Linked DNA regions of Diceros bicornis minor. Each later gene encodes a partner of the first gene's protein in a complex. Links are inferred from orthologs where the notes say so. Each region holds a gene or a part of one and is shown in the gene's direction. Other genes may lie near its edges. The genes, in order: RUVBL1, POLR2E and MORF4L2.

Region 1 (3,748 bases):
GCTCCCCAGGCTGTTCAGGGTGGCCCTGCTCTGGGCTTGTACACCACGTGGGTGTACCTGCTCCCACACATCTCATGTTGCAAGTTTCCCAACTAAGGACTAAGCTTGTCAAGGCTGGAGATTTTGTATTATATCTCCGTATCCCCAGCGCGTTGTAGTGTGGCTCACAGCAGGTGCTAACACATGTTTGTTGAATGACGAGATGGATGGGAAGAGGACACTGTGGTGCAGGCAGCGTTAACATCATTATGGAACCTGAGGGGACACATTTGCAGGCTGATTGTCTCACCTGAGGTCGGAGCATGGGATGAGGATTATCCAGGCTGTGAAGCCTTAAATCCTCAGCTGGAGTTCCAATTCTACTGATTATTTGCTGTACCTTCTTCGCCGGTTATTGGGCCTCTTTTAGCCTGCGTCTTTATATATATTAGGAATTATACTACCTTACAGGGTTGAAGAGTTTTGGAAACTAAAATGTTATTCACAGCGAACTTAAATAAAGGGAGAGGGCGGAGGCAGAAGCAAAGTTCCGCAGCGGACGCTGAGCGGAGCCAGGGTGAGAGCAGTTGGCCGAGCTGGGCCTCCGCAGGGAGTTGCAAATGCTTGGAGTCAGACAACAGCTCAGTAAGCAAAAGTCAAAGCTTAAGCTCTAAACCTCAGTTTCTCTATCTCCAAAACGGAGGTAATAACTTGAGCTTCGCAGAAGGATATGACGTTCAAATGCAAAAATGGATAGGATGGCACGATTAAAAGCCGGACTCCAGGCGCCCACTTCGCTGCAGCGCCACAACCCCTGATCATCCTGCGGGCGCGACCGCTCTGCGCTCTCGCGCCACGCGCCAGAGCAGGAAGCGCCGGCTGTGGGAAAGCCAACTCCGTCACACAGCCGGAAGTGGGTGGGCGGAGCCCTACCGGCAGCCGCGATGGGCGCAGCCGTGAGCCAATGGGGAGCTGAGGCGTTCCCGCTTCCGCCAATGGCGTGCCGACCAAGGCGGGCCTTGACAAACCGCCCTAGTAACGGCCGCATGGTAACCCAGGCGCCGAGCGTGGGGTCCTAGCTCCAGGTTTTCCACGCTGGTTTTGGCTTCCGGCATCGGCAAGATGAAAATTGAGGAGGTGAAGAGCACCACGAAGACGCAGCGCATCGCGTCCCACAGCCACGTGAAGGGGCTGGGGCTGGACGAGAGCGGCCTGGCCAAGCAGGCCGCCTCGGGGCTCGTGGGCCAGGAGAACGCGCGCGAGGTGTGGTGGACCGGCCAGGGAGTTGGGGCGCCGAGCAGGGCCCTGCCGCGAGAGGCCGCTGACGGGGGCGCAGGGAGGGGCGCGGGGATGCCCCGCCGAGGTTTTCTATCAGGGCGGTGAAAATGGGCTACGGGGGACGGCAGGGGGGCGCCGCATTGGCACTGGGAGAGGGGCGGGCGCAGGAGAACAAGTGACGTCCCGCGGGGCGGTTGACTGGTTGCTTCACCTCATTGACGGGTCTTGATTGAGCCCCCCACTCCGTGCCGCCATCTCCGCGCGACGCTGGCATACAGCGGGGAAGAAGACGGATGAGGTCCCGGCTCTCATGGAGCTTACATTTTAGTGTGATGAGAGACAGGCGGTAAACGGTTAAGCCAGTAAACAAAATAATTATTATACTTTGGTGGGGGTCAGTTCCTGCAGGGTTTTGTCGGCCGTGATAAGGAATTTGGATTTTTGTGAACGCACTGGGAGGCTGTGGTGGTTTTAAAGTAGAGAAGTGATCAACCTGAAAAAGCTTACTTAGGTTCCCACGGCTTGGGAGCTGAAGGAGGGAAGTGGGAGTTATAGAGAGGAGCAATCTGCTGTACCCACACCCCTAGCATTCTTTTGGCTCATACCAAATAAATCCAGTTTTATTAAGTGGCAGTGATGCCAGGTCCTTTCGCCTACATTATTATTATTATTTTTATTTTTTCCCCCAAGGCCCCAGTAGATAGTTGTACGTCATAGCTGCACTTCCTTCTGAGTTGCTGTATGTGGGACACCGCCTCAGCATGGCCGGAGCATGGCCGGAGAAGCGGTGTGTCGATGCGCACCGGGATCCGAACCCTAGGCCCCCAGCAGCGGAGGCGCGCACTTAACAGCTAAGCCATGGGGCTGGCCCTTTTCGCCTACATTATAATCACAAAACTATTCAAGCTTTTTGTATTTTTTTGCAGATGAAATAAATGAGGGTGGGAGAGGTCACTTCACATACCCACTTGCCACTCACTTTAGTAATGGTAATGCTGGGCTTTGTACCCGTGTGTGTTTCTGCCTCCCAAATCAGTGCTCTCTCTGTGATAGTTATAGCCACCCTCTCAGCTTGCTGAGCACTGTCAGACCCATGCCCCTTGCCTCTGACATGGCTTAGCACCCACAGGAACCATTATTAAGTAATAATGAGGTTAAGACTATTGCCTCCTAGCCTAATTGTGCTAATACAAAGGGCCAAAGAAAAGCCTCTGTTTTCCATTTTGAACATGATCTTTCCAAAAAGGAAATATTGACAGAGTCAGGGTGACTTTGAAATGTCTTTTTATCCATCTTCCACTTACTGAGGACCTGTTAACTGCAAATAGCTAACACTGGTTGAATGCTTGCTTTGTGCCAAGCATTGTGCTAAGCAGCTTTATCTCCATTGTCTTGCTTTTCACCTCCACCCTAATAATCGTCCCTTCGCCACTTTCTTATGACACTTTTCAGACATACAAAATAGTTGAAATTTCAAGACTTATATGGTGATTACCTGTGTATCTAAATTCTACAATTAACATTTTACTCAATTGCTTTATTATATCCATCCACCATTTTTCCATGGTGCTGCTCATTTATCCATCCACCAATCCACTTCTGCTCTTCAAAGCAAGTTGCAGACGTTAGTACACTTTACCCATAAACTCCTTGGCATTTGTGCCACTAACTATATTAGGAACTCTGTTTTCAGATAAGGAAATTGTGGTTCACAGAGGTTAGGTAGGTAGGTCACAGGTCACTCAGCTGGTAATTGGTGGAGTAAGGATTTAAACCCAAGTCTATCTGACTCCAGAATCCATGCTCTTAACTGATGCTATCTGCCTCTGTATGAATATGAGCTTCCTGAGGATACAGACCAGGTAATGTTATTATATACTCAGAACCTGACTCATTACCGAGGCTTGGTATTTATTTATTGAATTAATAGGCATCCCACCTCAGCTACTGGGTCCTTGTATAACTTTGGTCACATCAGCAGCCTCCCTGGTGCTTAATATCCTCGTGTGAAAAATGAGAGACTAGGTGATCTTTTAAAGGCCCTTTCAGTTCATAATTTTTAAATTTTAGAATTCACTGAACATATCTCTCTAGAGAGAAGGAGCCTAAACTGAGGGAGATTAAATGGAAGAGGTGCAAGTGTGTGAATAAGAATACATAGCCGGGGCTGGCCCCGTGGCTTAGCGGTTAAGTGCGCGCGCTCTGCTACTGGCCGCTTGGGTTCGGATCCTGGGCGCGCACCGACGCACCGCTTGTCCCGCCATGCTGAGGCCGTGTCCCACATACAGCAACTAGAAGGATGTGCAGCTATGACATACAACTATCTACTGGGGCTTTGGGGAGAAAAAGGGATAAAAAAGAGGATTGGCAATAGATGTTAGCTCAGGGCCGGTCTTCCTCAGCAAAAAAAGAGGAGGATTGGCATGGATGTTAGCTCAGGGCTGATCTTCCTCACATACACACAAAAAGAATACATAGCCAAGGTTTGGGA
Region 2 (3,748 bases), on another chromosome or scaffold:
CCTCTCCTCCTGTGATCTGGACTCTCCTCCTCCCCTCCCCTGACCATCCCTCTGCAGACTGCAAACCTCCCAGCTCCCGTAGCCTGCTCTCTCTCTTCTTCTGCAGCATTGTCACCTTCTAACATACTTTGTCACTTATTTATTATGAGACAGGCACAGTCAGGAGTAGGGCACTGTGGGATATCTGAGACCCGGGGCTTGGGGACAGGACAGGGGAAGACCGAGATGGGAGCACTTCATAAGCACCAGGAGCTATGCCAAGCTCCTCCCAAACACAACCATCCCTTCCGATTCTCTGCTAACCCTCTACAATGGGCACTTTATTATTTCCATTGTACAGACGGGAAAACTGAGGCTAGGGGGCGTTAAGTTGCACGTGGGCCAGAGCCAACTGAGAGACGGCCCTACAGTTGGATGCATAAATATTTATAGAGCTCTTCCTAGGCCGCCCGACTGTCCCTAGGAGGCAAGCAGACCCCTGCCCCCCTGCAGGCCTCAGTTTCCCCGCGCACACCTCGTTTCTGCCTGTTGAGATTCTAAACCGCCGCCCCAAGCGGGCGTCGAACGGAAACTACAACTCCCGAGAGGCTTTGCGGTCAGAGCTACGCGAGAACTTCCGAGGTGCTGGTGGGAGGAGCCCTGCGCACGCCTCTCGCGCAGCCAACGGCCGCTCGCGGAAGGCTCGGGCTGCCCTTGGCGCTGCCGGTCCCGAAGGTCGCTGTAGTGAGGCGTCCGCTGGCGACAGCCCTGCACGGGGCGGATGAGGGGGCCCTGACCGGGGCTCGGCGCAGGCGCAGTGGGCGCGGGTCCCGTCAAGCGCACGCGCAGTGAGTGCGAGCGGCGGCGGCCATGGACGACGAGGAGGAGACGTACCGGCTGTGGAAGATCCGCAAGACCATCATGCAGGTGAGCGGCGCGTGCGGCGCCCCGCTTGGCGGACGCGGGGAGGGCGGGCCTCGCTGGTCCGGGCGAGCCGGGCGCGCGGCGGTCCGGGGGGCGGGCGGCGAGCGCACGGCCCGGAGCGGGGACGAGCCTCCCCCACGCCCGCCCGAGCGGCTGGAGCCGAGGGGTCGGCAGGCGGGGCCCCCGAGGCTGCAGCGGGCGGGGTCTGTGGGGACGAAGGGACTCCGGGGGCAGGGGCCTGCGGGGGCCGGGGGACCCCACAGGGGCCAGCAGCCGAGTCGAGAGTCCGAGCGGCCCCGGGGGCGGGGTCTGCGGGGATGGGGGGACCCCATAGCGGCCAGCGGCCCGGTGGCCGGGGTCTGCGGGGACTGGATGACCCCACACGGGCCAGCGGCCGAGTCGAGAGTCCGAACGGCCCCGGGGGCGGGGTCTGCGGGAATGGGGGGACCCCATAGCGGCCAGCGGCCCGGTGGCCGGGGTCTGCGGGGACTGGATGACCCCACACGGGCCAGCGGCCGAGTCGAGAGTCCGAGCGGCCCCGGGGGCGGGGTCTGCGGGGATGGGGGGACCCCATAGCGGCCAGCGGCCCGGTGGCCGGGGTCTGCGGGGACTGGATGACCCCACACGGGCCAGCGGCCGAGTCGAGAGTCCGAGCGGCCCCGGGGGCGGGGTCTGCGGGGATGGGGGGACCCCATAGCGGCCAGCGGCCCGGTGGCCGGGGTCTGCGGGGACGGGACGACCCCACAGGGGCCAGCGGCCGAGTCGAGAGTCCGAGCGGCCCCGGGGGCGCGGTCTGCGGAGACTTTTGCTGTCTCTCCGGGCCGAGATCTCCCTCGAGTTGGAGAGGGGGAACGGCAGACACTGGGTGTCCCGCTTATTGATGTTTTTGGAAGGCGGAGCACCACCCCGCGTGCCTAGCTCAGAATGCCAGAATCGTGGGCTGGGAAGATACTCTGGTCAGCTGGCCTGAGGTGCCGTCCTGCGAGGATGTCCGTCTCTGATCTCTCGGTTTGGTGGCTGCTTTTGCGCCTCGGCCACCAACTTGGACTTCCTGGGGCTGGTCGGAGTGGAGTGACACTAGCCAGCTGGTTGAGCAGTCACTGTTTGTCACTTGCTTTAAGCCGTCCTGTGGGAAGGGACCAGTGTGACCCTCAGAGGCCCGGTGGGGCATGGCCTTGACCAAGACCGCCCAGCTTCTCTACTGCTTTGCAAAGTGACCCCAGAGACAGGGGCTGAAACAACTGTGCTTCAGGCTGACAGCGTTGGGGACCCTGAGAGAGCAGACATGAGGGCTCAGGAGGCAGAATCGGGCTGTGGGGACTTCACGGAGGAGATGGGGTGGGAAGCTCTGACTTTCCTGTTATCCATCTTTGTCCTCTTCTAGTTGACCCCAGTCAAAGAGCCCACACGCTCAGGCCTTCACCCAGTTTCTGAGCTGGAGTTGCCTGGCCAGCCCAGCAACGCCCCTCTCACCCAGCTGTCTCCATCTGCCCCAGACCCCAGGGCCCAACTCTGCCGCTGCTTCCCACTCAGGGCCTCTCCCCGAGGCTGGGGATAAGACGATGACGCACACGATTACCTGGAGCAGCTCGGGGCTCTCAAGTGCCCCGTGGTCTTTGTCTCCACTCGTCCCTTCTCCCTTTTCTGGCCTCTACGCACACCCACTGCACCAGGCCCCACACTGCCCACGGCGCCCTCTGCAGCGGCCTCGTCCGGCCCCACCTCTTTCTGTTATGCCTTCTCTGCCCTGGGGTCACTTGACTCTTTCTGTCTGCAGCTGTGCCACGACCGTGGCTACCTGGTGACCCAGGACGAGCTGGACCAGACGCTGGAGGAGTTCAAGGCCCAGTTCGGGGACAAGCCGAGTGAAGGGCGGCCGCGGCGCACGGACCTCACCGTGCTGGTGGCCCACAATGACGACCCCACCGACCAGATGTTCGTCTTCTTCCCAGGTGAGGGCTTTGCCGGTCCCTGGCAGCCGTGTGTCCGCGAGGGGTCATGGTTCTGGTGGAGCCATCTGAGGGCCTGCTGTGTGGCCCAGAGTCCACACTGGGCCTTGTCTTTCTGGGAAGAAAATCCCCCTCGCCCTCCTTATTGGGAGGGTGGTGCCGTTGATCTCTGAACCCTCTCAGTGCCTTGTCTAGCTTCGGTCTCCTTGGTCCCCTTCCTTGTTCTCTTCTCCTTGGCTGTTTTCTCTGCCCAGGATTATCACAGGCCTTTAGCTGGGCCCCCGGCCCCTCCTGACCTCAGATCCACCCGTGTCCTCTGCCCCCACCCCGTCAGCCCCGCCTGCTGCTCCCTGAGGCTCCTTCCTGCCCTTGTCCCTGCCGATCCCCCTCACCACACCGTTCCTCTTCGCCCTGCCTGGTCGGTGTCCATCATCGTCCCTAGAGACCCAGCTCAGGTGCCGTCTCCTCCAGGACCCTCTCTGAGCCCGGGCTGAGTGAAGAGCCCCCCGAGGGGTGTCCCAGGACCCCCGCGTTCCTGTCTCTGCGCCTGCTGCACTCAGGCAGCCTGGCTCTGAAGCCTGCCAGAGTTGGGCCACGCTGGGGCGTGAGCACCTTGGGGGCGCTGGAGTCAAGGGAGTGGGCAGAAAATGTTTGCAGAACAGACCCAGGTGGCGCTAAGAACGGTGTCCCCCGTGTGGAGACGTGTTTACTGGGGACAGTGAGGCCTGATCACCCGCCTCCCCAGACCCTGCCTGGGGGCCGGGCTGCCCTGGAGTTGGGGGTCTCTCTCTACTTCCTGGTCTTTGGTGACGTTGGGGGCGTCCTGCTTCTCTCGGACGTGCCTCGGGGCAGAGTTGAGGCTCCCACCTGTGTTGCTTAGCTGGGGCCGCGCCAAC
Region 3 (3,748 bases), on another chromosome or scaffold:
TCTATATAGAGCGCGCGCACACGTACGCACTGAGGCACGCATACCCTAGCTGCCGGACACACGCCGGGCCCAACGTTAGAGGCGCACGCCTGCGCACACCCACCACCTGCAGCGCCACGAGGACTGGCGCGCGCACACACTCCAACCGCAAGGCCATGCAAGCTCGCCCGCGCACCTATACACTAGCCCCCACACCACGCGGCCGCAGCACCCACCACCCCGACTCATACACATGTCAAAACCCCCATTCTTCCTTTTTTTTCCTCCAAGAGTTGCGCGAGGCTCGGGGGCGTGGCCCCACGTTTGACCTCGCGCTTCCCCACTCGCGGGAACCTTAGCTCATTTCCGCCCATCCCGTTTCCGCAGGCCACGTAGACACTTCCTTTCCCAGTGGGGAAAAAAAAAAACCCATAATGCCTCCGTGCAGGAAAAAAAAAATAAAAAAAAAAATAAACCTCTGGTCAAAGCGGAACTCTGGGTCGTGAAAATAGGCCACGTGAACACCCTGCCCTATAGACTTATGACCCAACGACTGTCGCGCTTTTGGAGGGCGGGCTCAGAACCTAAGGGGGCGAACGTCATTGGCCAGAGCCCGCACTAAAGGAGGAAGATGATTGGCTTGCCCTAAGCCTTAACCGTGAAGAAGCAGGTTGCTAGCGCCTGCCTTTACTGCGGCGGAGTGTCATTGCTGACGTGGTGGGCCTCGTCCAATCATTTGATAATGGAACATTCTAAAACTTAGACGAGACGATTGTTATTGGCTGAAGGGCATAAGCCCGCCTCCAGGGTGACGTGTCTGCCTATGGATATCAGTTGCCAGAGAAACCTGGCTTTACTATGGCGGTTGGAGGGACGGCAGTGATCACACGTCGGCTGCTGGAAAGAACTGGATTCTCGTTTCAGGTTTCGGGGTGGGGGTGGGGAGAAAGGGTTGACGATTTCCTCTTATCGTCGTGTATATAGACAAGGTTAACTAATGGCTTCACAATCGAGCAGAGCTGGATTCAAATTCCTACTCGCCAACGCCCAGCTTAGGCTGGCTCCTGTTCTTTCTGTGTCTCGGTTTCCATGTTTGTAAAATGGTGACAATAATAGTATCTACCTCAGAGACCTGTGTCTCAGAGGCGTGTACTGTATATGCGTGTATATAAGGCACTTAATACGAAGCCTGGCTCCGAAAGATATTAACCATGATTGTGGAGAGAAAAACCCGCGTAACAGAATGAGGAAAAACATAAATTATGTGAATTCGTTCATTATAGTGCTTTTCCTGCCCATCAACTTCTTCTTTAGAAGAAATTAGAGATATAAGAGAGACATATAAATCTTTACTCATGAAATAATTTGCTAATTGGGAATTACCTCAAATAGCGAGGATTGGAATTTTCCATATTGAAAAGTTTAAAAAAAGGAGGAGGGGGAGAAAGAGATGGAGAACGAGAGCGAGCTGGAGATGAACCACATGCAATAAGTAGGCCTTGTTTGGATCCTTATTCGAGCACACCAGCTGTGGGAAAAAAAAAACTGCTTAGGATGCGTCGGGGAAATTTGAAGACGGATTCGATATTTGATGTTTTTTTAAGGAATTGATGTCGATTTTTTAGACGTTATAATGATATTGTGGTTATGTTTTCAAATAGTCTTTATCTTGTAGAAATATGTATGAAAATATTTACGGATTAAGTCATAAAATATCTGGAATTGGTTTCAAAATACGTTGATGACTAGAATTTGCTTCAAAATAATCTCAGCGGTAGGGGGAAGTGGGGAGGGGTATAGATGGAACAAAATTGGCCCTAAGTTAGTAATCGTTTAAGCTGAGTGATGGGCATGTGGGGTTCCTTATATTCTGTTTTTATTGGTATGTGTTTGAAATTTTCCATAATAAAATACAGAAAGTCAGCTATTCAGTGAACTTAAAAAAAATCGGAGTTGGGGGGAGCGGTGGGTGGGGTTATAGATGAAACAAAATGGCCTTCAGTTGGTAATTGTTGAAGCTGGATGATAAATTTGGGTAGGTTTGTAATATTCCCTTTACATTTCTATCCATTTGAAGTTATTCTCAATAAAAAGTAAAAAAAAGGCAAAAACAAATTACTTTGTCAAAAATCAGGATGAATGTACGAAAAATTTGAAAATATAACCCCAAGAAAGGAAAAAGAAACACTTGTACATTATTTATCAGCTCTGTTGTCCTTTGTGTGTGATAAAATGTATTGACTGATAGAAGAGAAAACCATCATCTCATGTCTTTTTATTTTATGTCCTGTCCTGTCCCCTTGTTTGACCTTCTAGGCTATCATCAGAAAAGCTAAGTTTGCTATATAGTAGGGATCAGAAGATCTGATCCTGATTGCAGAACCGTCCCTGATTACAGAAACTTGGGTAAGTGCCTCCCTTCTGGCCTCAGTTCTCAAACAAGATAATTTCACACAACATTCCTAACTATCCAGAAATATTTTGAAGATAAATAAGCGCCTATCCGGGAAAGCACTCTAAATTCTAAGGGGAGGATGGAGCTAAGTCCATTGGTGCTTCCAGTATAGAAAGCGCCTGAACAACAGAGGGTTGTGTAATTTTTAATTCCTTGATAAAAGATACTGCAATTGATCCCCTATAGTTAGTTACATACATTCATATAGTGTTTTTCTCACTTTGTGGCATCTCACATGCAGCATAATTTAGTGGTTAAGAGCAAATGCTGACTTACCGAATTTAAATCCTGGCTCTGCCACTTCTTATGTGATCCTGGGCAAGATGCTTACACACTTTGTCCCTGAATTTCCTGGTATATAAAATAAAGATAATAATAGTTCCTACTTCATAGGATTGTTAAGGGGATTATATGTAAAGTACCAGGACAGTGCTTGGCACTGTGTTTGCTTTAATAATAATTATGGCTCTATTAGTCTTTCTGGTACATCCTGTTTTACACACACATGCACACTTACACTTCTAAAAGCAGTGGATACTTCTTTTTGGAATTGTAAAAAAATAATAATACTTTTGGTTTCTCTCCTGATTTTCCAGAAGCAGCAGTTACCACTAGAACTGAATTCTGAAATTATGACTTCTGGCTTGTCCTAACAATCTAGAAAGATTTTGAGTATATTGATCATATTTATTTATAAGGGAATTTCCAGGAGCTATAATTTTAACTAGCAAATAATAACCATATTCAGTCTGCTAACAGCTTTTATATCATTCCTTCTTTGTCTCGGACTCAAAAATGTCTGTTAAACATAAAGGAAGTGTTCCAAGATCGAAAAGAGAGAGAATTGATGTAAATGTAACTAACAGGGTGTATGTGCATTTAAAGGTTTATTCCAACAAACTGTAGATGTTGTTCACACTCATTTGTAACACCCATACACAAAGGTGTTAGCATTTGGAGTCTGCATTCCTGAATGGTCCATCACTTGCATGAGGAGATGAAGGAATGTTTTCACTCTCTTGACAGCTTCATTTTCCCATGGAGTCACTATATTTTTCTTATTTTTCTCCCTTCTGAAAGCTAGGTTGCAGAGGAGGGCACTGCCCTGGTGGAAAAGATGCAGTAGATGGGTAGGCACAAAATCCCTTTACAGGAGACCATTTGGAGAATGATTTAAGGGCTAAAGGAAGGGAGGTGGACTGTTGGGCCAATAGGAGCTCAGAGAAGGCAAAGGCCAGGGTAGCCTGAAATGGAGAAAGCCTCAAGGAGGAAAAGAACCTTGACCTGAGCCTCTGAGGATGGGCAGAACCTAGA

The links.
Region 2: RUVBL1 (region 1) and POLR2E share a complex: the UniProt entries of both Homo sapiens proteins name them as parts of the PAQosome complex. The link is inferred for Diceros bicornis minor from reciprocal best matches to the Homo sapiens genes RUVBL1 and POLR2E.
Region 3: RUVBL1 (region 1) and MORF4L2 share a complex: the UniProt entries of both Homo sapiens proteins name them as parts of the nuA4 histone acetyltransferase complex. The link is inferred for Diceros bicornis minor from reciprocal best matches to the Homo sapiens genes RUVBL1 and MORF4L2.

The regions. Positions count from the first base shown.
Region 1 is NC_080741.1:92,873,312-92,877,059, reverse strand, and holds the start of RUVBL1 (ruvB-like 1), read left to right. Parts: upstream 1-1,024; 5' UTR 1,025-1,101; coding exon 1,102-1,242; intron 1,243-3,748. UniProt on the Homo sapiens protein: Possesses single-stranded DNA-stimulated ATPase and ATP-dependent DNA helicase (3' to 5') activity; hexamerization is thought to be critical for ATP hydrolysis and adjacent subunits in the ring-like structure contribute to the ATPase activity.
Region 2 is NW_026691553.1:615,442-619,189, reverse strand, and holds the start of POLR2E (DNA-directed RNA polymerases I, II, and III subunit RPABC1), read left to right. Parts: upstream 1-798; 5' UTR 799-849; coding exon 850-906; intron 907-2,680; coding exon 2,681-2,855; intron 2,856-3,748. UniProt on the Homo sapiens protein: DNA-dependent RNA polymerase catalyzes the transcription of DNA into RNA using the four ribonucleoside triphosphates as substrates.
Region 3 is NC_080781.1:96,707,579-96,711,326, reverse strand, and holds the start of MORF4L2 (mortality factor 4-like protein 2), read left to right. Parts: upstream 1-810; 5' UTR 811-903; intron 904-2,295; 5' UTR 2,296-2,385; intron 2,386-3,748. UniProt on the Homo sapiens protein: Component of the NuA4 histone acetyltransferase complex which is involved in transcriptional activation of select genes principally by acetylation of nucleosomal histone H4 and H2A.